2 linked regions of the Diceros bicornis minor genome follow. The protein of the gene in region 2 interacts with the protein of the main gene of each other region in a pairwise test. Links are inferred from orthologs where the notes say so. Each region holds a gene or a part of one and is shown on either strand. Other genes may lie near its edges.

The links.
Region 1: the proteins of CLK3 (region 2) and OAS2 interact in binary tests that used the Homo sapiens proteins (3 or more experiments, as listed by UniProt). The two-hybrid records come from large-scale screens. The link is inferred for Diceros bicornis minor from reciprocal best matches to the Homo sapiens genes CLK3 and OAS2.

The regions. Positions count from the first base shown.
Region 1 is NC_080774.1:11,025,675-11,029,579, reverse strand, and holds the start of OAS2 (2'-5'-oligoadenylate synthase 2), read right to left. Parts: upstream 2,457-3,905; 5' UTR 2,424-2,456; coding exon 2,247-2,423; intron 698-2,246; coding exon 430-697; intron 1-429.
Region 2 is NC_080744.1:67,566,188-67,570,092, reverse strand, and holds the start of CLK3 (dual specificity protein kinase CLK3), read right to left. Parts: upstream 2,373-3,905; coding exon 2,271-2,372; intron 1-2,270. UniProt on the Homo sapiens protein: Dual specificity kinase acting on both serine/threonine and tyrosine-containing substrates. Phosphorylates serine- and arginine-rich (SR) proteins of the spliceosomal complex.

The sequences.
Region 1 (3,905 bases), on a different chromosome or scaffold from region 2:
TATTCTAGTCTAAATCCCCAAGTGTGGTCCACAGAGCAGCAGTAGCATCACGGCAGGTTAGACATACAGAATCCCAGGCCCTGCCCCTGATCTCCTGAATCAGAACTTGCATTTTAATAAGGTTCTCTGGTGATTTGTGGGCATGTCACAGTTTGAGAAGCTCTTCTCTAGAGTCTAGAATCTAGAACATTTTCGCCAAAGTCAATTAAGAGATGACAGAAAAGTTCTAGAGAAGAGAGTAAGCCCAGGTAGGAGAGACTTCCTCTCTTGAAGGTCTATGGTCCCCCACTTTGGAAAGCACCAGTGGTATCTATCCCATCCCCAGCCTAGAGGACCCACATGGCTGTCTGCCACCCCTTTCTTTGGCTTTGCTCTCTCAACAAACCCTTCCAGATCTGAACCCACACCCATACACCCAGGTGGGCTCACCCAGCGCATTGAAGGCAGGCAGCACCTCAAAAGTGATGCTTTGCCATCCTGAGGACACATGGATGGTGAGCCCACTGTTGGGCCTCTGGATCTGCACCTTGGCTTCCAGGCCTGTGACCTGACAGGCTCTCAGACACTCCCAGATTTTCTTGAAGATTTCCTGTTGGCTTTTCGTCTGATCCTGGAATTTTTCAAGGTTACTGACGAAGATGACGAGCGTACCATCGGAGTTGCCTCTTAAGACCGTTTTCCGGCCATAGGAGCCACCCTGCCAGCGATAGAGAAAAAGATGTGAGACTCTGGGTCCTTTGGGGTCACAGGGCACCCCAGCAGGCAGTAGTATTTCTCAACTCAAGCAAAAGTCCAAAATGTCACCATTTCTTAAAATTGAGTGACCAGGCGTCCATTCGTCCACCCGTAGACCTGAATCGGGATGCCCATAGCAGCACTTTCCATACTGGCTCCAAACTGGAGGCAACTCAGATGGCCATCAACAATAGAATGGACAAACGTGGTGTACCCACACAGTGGAGACACATACAACAACACAATGATAAACACCACCTACACACAACAACATAGATTTCATAAACAGGATGGTCACAGAAACCACACAGTGCATGATTGCACTTATAGAGGGTGACCAACCTGTCTGGTTTACCCGGGACAGTCCCAGCTTTAGCACTGAAGGGCCCATGTCCCAGAAAACCCCTCAGTCTCGGACAAACCTGGACGGTTGGTCACCCTACATTTAGAAAGGTTAAAAACCCAATGAAATGAATCTATGCTGTTATAAGTCAGGATCAGTTGCCTGGGGTTGGAGGTAGTGACCGGATGGGGGTCCAGGGACTCTGGCGGGTGGAATGTTTTGTTTCTTGATCTGGGTGCAGGTTACACATGTATGTTGTGTGTGGCAATCCACCAGGCTGTACACTTAGATCTGTGCACTTTTCTTTTTGTATGTTTTATTTTAATTAGAAAAAAGTTAACAATATTGAGAGGCAGGATGGCATAGTGGTTAAGGGCGCATGCTCCCAAGCAGATTGCCTGGGTTTAAATTCCAGCTCTGATGACAGCTATTAAATAACTTCCTCATGCCTCAGTTTCCCCATCTGGGCCAGGGCGGGGGCCACCAAGTGTCCAGGTGTCTTTATTGCTAGAGATCCTGAGTGTGCCTAAAGGCAGAGGCCAGAAGACACATGTCTGCCGAGAAGAGGGAAGCTGGTGCCGGAGAGCATGGGGCGGGTGGGGTGGGGGTGGGGGGCGGGGGGGCAGATCTCTAACCCCGAATCGTCAGCCTCAGTCCTGGGATTTGTGGCCACAGCACCATACATTTCTGACTGATAAGAGCTCCCCGCCTCCTTGCTGTTGAGAAACCACAGAGCAACTTCTGGTAGTTTGACTGAAGTCTCCTAACCTCAGTTTACTCCTCTGTGATATGGGGCAGAGGGAAACAATAACAGTGAGTAATCACGGCTAAGTTATTGAGCACTAACTATGTACCAGGATCTGTGCTAAGAATACCCGAGGTGGGTATTATTCCTCCTCCATTTTACAGATTCAGAGACTGAGGCGCAGAGAGGGTGAGCAACCTGCACTGGGTCACACAGGAGGAAGAGACAGAGCCGGCTCCTAGCCCGTGCTCCTAAGCTGTACATCATCTCCCATCAGCTCACTCGAGTGTGGGGAGCACGAGCTGATGTCTTGTGTGCTCAGAGCCTGGCACACCGTAGCTGCTCAGCACCAAGTCTCTCTGCCTTCCAGTGGCTGTGAGATCTCCCGGCTCCCAGAAACCCAGAGCCCAGCCCGCGACTCACTTTGGCGACCCTTTTCTCCAGGGAGAGCGGCTCGGCTTCCTGCAGGGCGGCACAGAGGGTGTTCACGGTGCTGTCGATGTGCTTCTGACAGTCTTCAGAGGGCCTCAGCGAGTCCCGGATGAGCCCGTCCAGTTTATGAGCAGGCACTGTGTACAGGTGGGACTCCCAGTTGCCCATGGCTCCTGCTGGCTGCTGGGCCGACAGCTAATGGCTGAGCAGGAAGAAGAGAAAGAGAAACTCCTGTGCCGAGAGCCAGGAAACCGAAACTCACCCAGCTCTCCATCTCCTTGGTTTCGAGTTTGCCCTCGCAGCTGGGGTTAGCCTCTCAGCGGTTCCCAGAAGCCTTCTGAGTCAACTCGCAGCCTCTGGAGCCCGATGGTGGGGGCTCGATACACACCAGACCTGTGTGCTGGAGCACATTGCCTGCCCTTTTTGTGCCTCAATTTCCCCACCTGTTAAATAGGGGATAACAATGGTACCTCTCTCGTAGGATTAATGTGAGGATTACGTAACACCTGCAGAGCGCTTAGAATGGGCGAATGCTTTGTGTTTGTTAAGTAATTAACATTTTACAAGGGGCGAAGGTTGTTCTCGGAGGTTCTTTCCCTTTTCCCCTGTCCTCAGTGGCCTGGAAACTCAGAGTCAATGAGAGCAGCGAGGAGAAAGAGCCCCAGAGAGGGAAGTGACTTGCTCAGGGACGCGCAGCAAGGCAAGGGCTGAGCTACACTCAGGTTTCAGTTCTGCCACTGGGCGAATAGGTCCCGGAGGGGTCAGTGCGGGGGAGCTTCTGTGTGCCCAGTTCCTCAGCACACGTGTGGGCACCTGCAGGGCCTCATCAGGTGCTTCCCCACCCCCCCACCCCCCAGCAAGGATGGAAAATAGGCCCAGGAGAGCACAGGCTGGAGGGAGACAGATGTGCAACGCTATGAAAATGAAACTCACAGAGGGCTCCCAGGGGCTGCCTCTGTCTAGCGGTAATAAGAAATACAGACGGCAGAGATCCCTAAGGTGTGGGAAGAAGGGTCCTTCTCTGCTGTGATGATTAATTTTGTGGGTCAACTTGGCTGGGCCACGGTACCTGGAAATTTGCTCATTGTTCTAGATCTTTCTGGGAACTTTTTTTTTTTTTTTGTGAGGAAGATCAGCCCTGAGCTAACATCCGATGCCAATCCTCCTCTTTTTGCCGAGGAAGACTGGCCCTGGGCTAACATCCATGCCCATCTTCCTCCACTTTATACGGGACACCACCACAGCATGGCTTGACAAGCGGTGCGTTTGTGTGTGCCCAGGATCCGAACCTGTGAACCCCAGGCCGCTGAAGCGGAGCGCACGCACTTAACCGCTGCGCCACCGGGCTGGCCCTGGAAGGTATTTTTTAAAGAAGAGATTAACATTTAAATCAGTAGACTTTAAGTAAAACAGATTACCTTCCGTAATATGGGTGGGCCTTATCTAGTTGTTACCTGGCCCACCGACGCCATAAACCAGTAACCGCAGCCCTGCTCAGACAAGCCTGACATGTTCTCTTTAGCTTCCAGGAAACCATAAAGAGAGGAAGGAGGAGGTGGCTGAGACATACAGTCAAAACCAGTTAAAACCACTTGAAGGCAACATGGCAGTCTGACTTGACCTGACATAGACCCCACGGCTCATTGTACA
Region 2 (3,905 bases):
AAGAGCTTAGACTGCTCTTCTGTTTTGATGCTCAGCTGACTAATGTTTCACTGTTTTTCTGCAATGACCCTGGTCAGGTGCCCAAGCTATGGAATGAAGGTGCTATCTCACATCTCACTCACTAAGTGACATGGAAGATGCTCCAGTAGCCAGGGCAGACGCCCTGCCTATCCTGACTGCACAGACAGAGCTGGAGGACATGGTCTAGTCCTAGGCCTAAGACTCCCTCCTGGGACCTAGAAGATCTTATGTCCACACATGGTGATATTAGTGGAGAGAAGACGTCTTCAGAGTTAGATAGATGTCAATCTGAATCCTGGCACTGCCACTTCTCGCTGTGTGCCTTTAGGCAAGTTATTAGACTACTCTGACCTTCAGCTTCCTCTTGCAACAAGGGAATAGTAATTTCTTACAGGGTTCTGTGAAGATTAAATTATGTTACTCCTTTAAGTACATGCCTAGCACATGCCTTCAGGTCAAATGCCTAGCACAGGTCTGGGCCCACAAGAAGTACTGAAGGCAGCTTTTCGTTAACAACATTAAAAAGATTCCAAAGTCCTTTCCAAGGTTGGGGGGGTGAAGGTGCAGGCTCTAAGTAGAAAACCCTAAACTAAATCCCAGTGCTGCCACTTACTGGCCTCCTGACCTTATACAAGTCACTCTAGGCCTTGGTTACTATACCTGGAAAATGGAGACACCACCACCTCCCAGCCAACTTGGCAAAGGAGATGACAAGTATGAGAGCTATGAAGTACCACACACAAGGCAATCAAAGAAAATAACCTCTCCTTTAACACATTCTAGGCAAGTGAAACACTGGAAATACTACATGCCCCTCATTATCTTCCCAGCCAGGGCTCTAGGGCCCATTTGTTTTTTCTTTTTTTTTTTTTTTGTGAGGAGATCAGCCCTGTGCTAACATCTGCCAATCCTCCTCTTTTTTCGCTGAGGAAGACTGGCCCTGGGCTAACATCCGTGCCTATCTTCCTCCACTTTATATAGGACGCCGCCATAGCGTGGCTTGACAAGCGGTGTGTGGGTGCGCACCCGGGATCCGAACCGGCGAACCCCGGGCCGCCGCAGCGGAGAGCGCGCACTTAACTGCTTGCGCCATGGGGCCGGCCCCTAGGGCCCATTTCTCATCAATTATCTCTGATTCTCTGAGACCACAGCAAACGGGTTATTTCAAAATGCTAAGGGCCACAATTATGCTCCAGAGAGCTCTGCTCTGCACAATGAAGAGAAAGGTAATATGAAGGAAACCAGGCGGAAGATGCCAGCTTTTCTCTGAGCACAGGCCGAGCTGGCTTCTCATCTGCCGTTCCTGGCCAGAGAACTGGGCTGACAAGAAGAGCAGCCAGCCAGGTCAGCGGCTGCCCTCCCGGATCCCTACCACCCCAGCGCCCCATGGTTATTTTTGGCTGACGCTGCCCCACCACTGCAACCTCAAACCTGCCACCTTGCAAGCTGCCACCACCGGGTGAAACGCTCCTCCTTTTCAAGGGCATGGAGAAGGGAAGCTGGAAGGCCGCCAACTCCGCCTCGACGGGGGCCTGGCTCAGGCAATCCCCAACCCAGCTCCACACCAGGGCACCCACACCCGGAACTAAAGCACAGAGACTCCCGGGCCGCTCGGGCCGAAGAGCAGCCGGGGCATTTGTACCGTCAGCTTGGCCAGGCCCCTCCCCCGGGCTGGAACGGCTCCACCATCACAACAAAACACGCAGGGAGCCCGCGGCCCTCGCTGGCGTCCCTTCCTGTCACCTCAGGTCCCAGAGCCCGGTGGCCCGTAACCGCCGCCAATGGCAGCAAGGGGAGATCTGGGGGGCAGGAGGAAGGCCAGCCTGGAGCAGAATCAAACGCCAGGACGCGCAGGAAGGAGTCGTCTGCGGAACAAGCCTCGAGGGGAGTTGGGGGGGTGGGGTCTGAAGGCCCCTCCAGGCTATCCCGCGTAGGACCCCGACCCCATTTCCTCGGGCAGGTGCAGGGCCGAAACTGGATCCCTGCAGGGACCTCAGAGGCCCCTCAGACTCGGACTCCGACACCGCGGGATCGAGAGGTCGGGGTCTGTGGTGACCGCCCTCCGGGGGAGAAGTGGCGGGTCAGGGGTGAGAGGTCGGGGCCGCGGCCTGAACTGAGCCGACGAGAAGGAACGAGAGGAGGCCAAGACCGAACCAGGAGCCCGGGGTACCGCACCCAGCGAGCCCGCCCCGACGACTCAGACCCCGCCGCCGCCGCCGCCGCCCTCGCGGGCCCGGGCCCACACTCACCGTCTCCCAGGCTCCGGCTGCAGCTAGGCCCCACTCCCAGCTCCGAGCGCCTCTTCCGCTTCCGGCTCCGGCCTCCGCCCGTGGCGGCCCCGCCCTTCGCATGACGCAGCCGTCGCCAGCCCCGGCTCGACCCGCCTCGGTGGCCTGGCCGCTCTAGCCCCCGCCTCGAAGGCTCTGGAGGACCCGCCTTCTCCGCCCCGGTCGGTGCGGCAGTCGTGGAGACTGGTTCCGGGAGAGCCGAGGGGACGTCCCAGGCCGCGGCCCGCCCCGCGCCGTGTCGCGACGCACGTAGGCCCCAAAGACGCGACAGAGGCGCCGTCCCCCGCCGGCGGGCGCTAGGAGCCGGAAGGTGGAGCCCCGACCTGGCCGGGGGCTGGCCCGCTCTGCCGCCCCGACCCCGCCCGTGCCCGCCAACCCTTCCTGCGCGCGGGCAGGGCATTGTTTCGCTGTCGGCTCAGTGAGAACCGGGTGGACCTTGAACGCTCGCCCGGTGCCGGGGCCCAGGAGGGCGCTAAAGAGGATGGAGCTCTGTGCCTGAGGCTCGGGAAGGCGGTCATCACCCGGTTACGTGAAAGAAGCAAATGAGACCTTATTCTCCTTGTGTGGGGGGGTTTTAAAGCCATGGCGGCACGCCCAAGCTTCCAGGTGCATGCAGAGCAGTGTCTGGGAAGATGCCCGAGAGCCCCGTCGGCGGGGCCTCGGAGGATGGGGTCTGGGCTACAGGGGGGGCCCCTTTCCTTGAGCACCGCAGTCAGCGGGCCAGCAATGGTTCTCAGCTAATAAACCCCGCGCCCTGCCGCCGTCAGGCCTTCGGCCATTTCTGCGCCGAGTCACTCGACGACCCCTTCAGCCGAGGTCGCGAGCGTGGGATCACCAAAACCCCTCCCACCGACTGTCCCGCGCCGGTCAGGGCGGGATAACGAGGCCCCCGTTTTCCGGATGAGGAAACAGGCCGAATCCTTCGCGAGACCTCACGGTTCGGGGCGTGCACGCCCCGCCGGGCGGGGCTGGCGTCCCCTCAGCGAAGCCGGCGGGAGCGGCCCCTAATTGCCCCCACGCCACGCAGGGGCCGGAGCAGGAGGGCGGGGCATCGCTACAGGCCCCGTCCCCCGGGGCGACTCCGCGAGAGTGGCCGGGGCTTCCCCAGCGCCGCGGGCACGGGCCGCCCCTGCGGCCCCGCCCCATGAGGGCTGGGCACGCCCCTGACGCGAGGCGGTGTCTCCCCGCCCGGCGGGCGCGGCCCGCGCCGAGGCTCTCACGGAGTTGCGGCGGTCTTTTGAGTCCTTAGCCTCTGGCTTCCCTCTAAACTGGGGTCTGAAGGCGTGGCTTGAGAGGGTGCCTAGTACCCCTCAAATCTCCGTTAGCCACAACCGAAGTCAACAACCGAAGCTAAGTAAAAACAGGATGCTTGCTACGCTAACGCGGCCTCAAGGCCGGCTCCTGGTCCCCTTCCAACCAAATGCACCCGCCCCAACGTAGCAATTCCGGAGCCTCTTCAAGTGCGCGGTGCGTGACCGAGAGCCCGGCCCTCGGGATCCCGCCTCAGGGGCCGGAGGTTCCCAGTTGCCATTCTTGCCCGGCCCCGATGCTTGGTCTGTGGCCGCGGCCACTCTAGCAGGGGTTCATCTCAGGGTG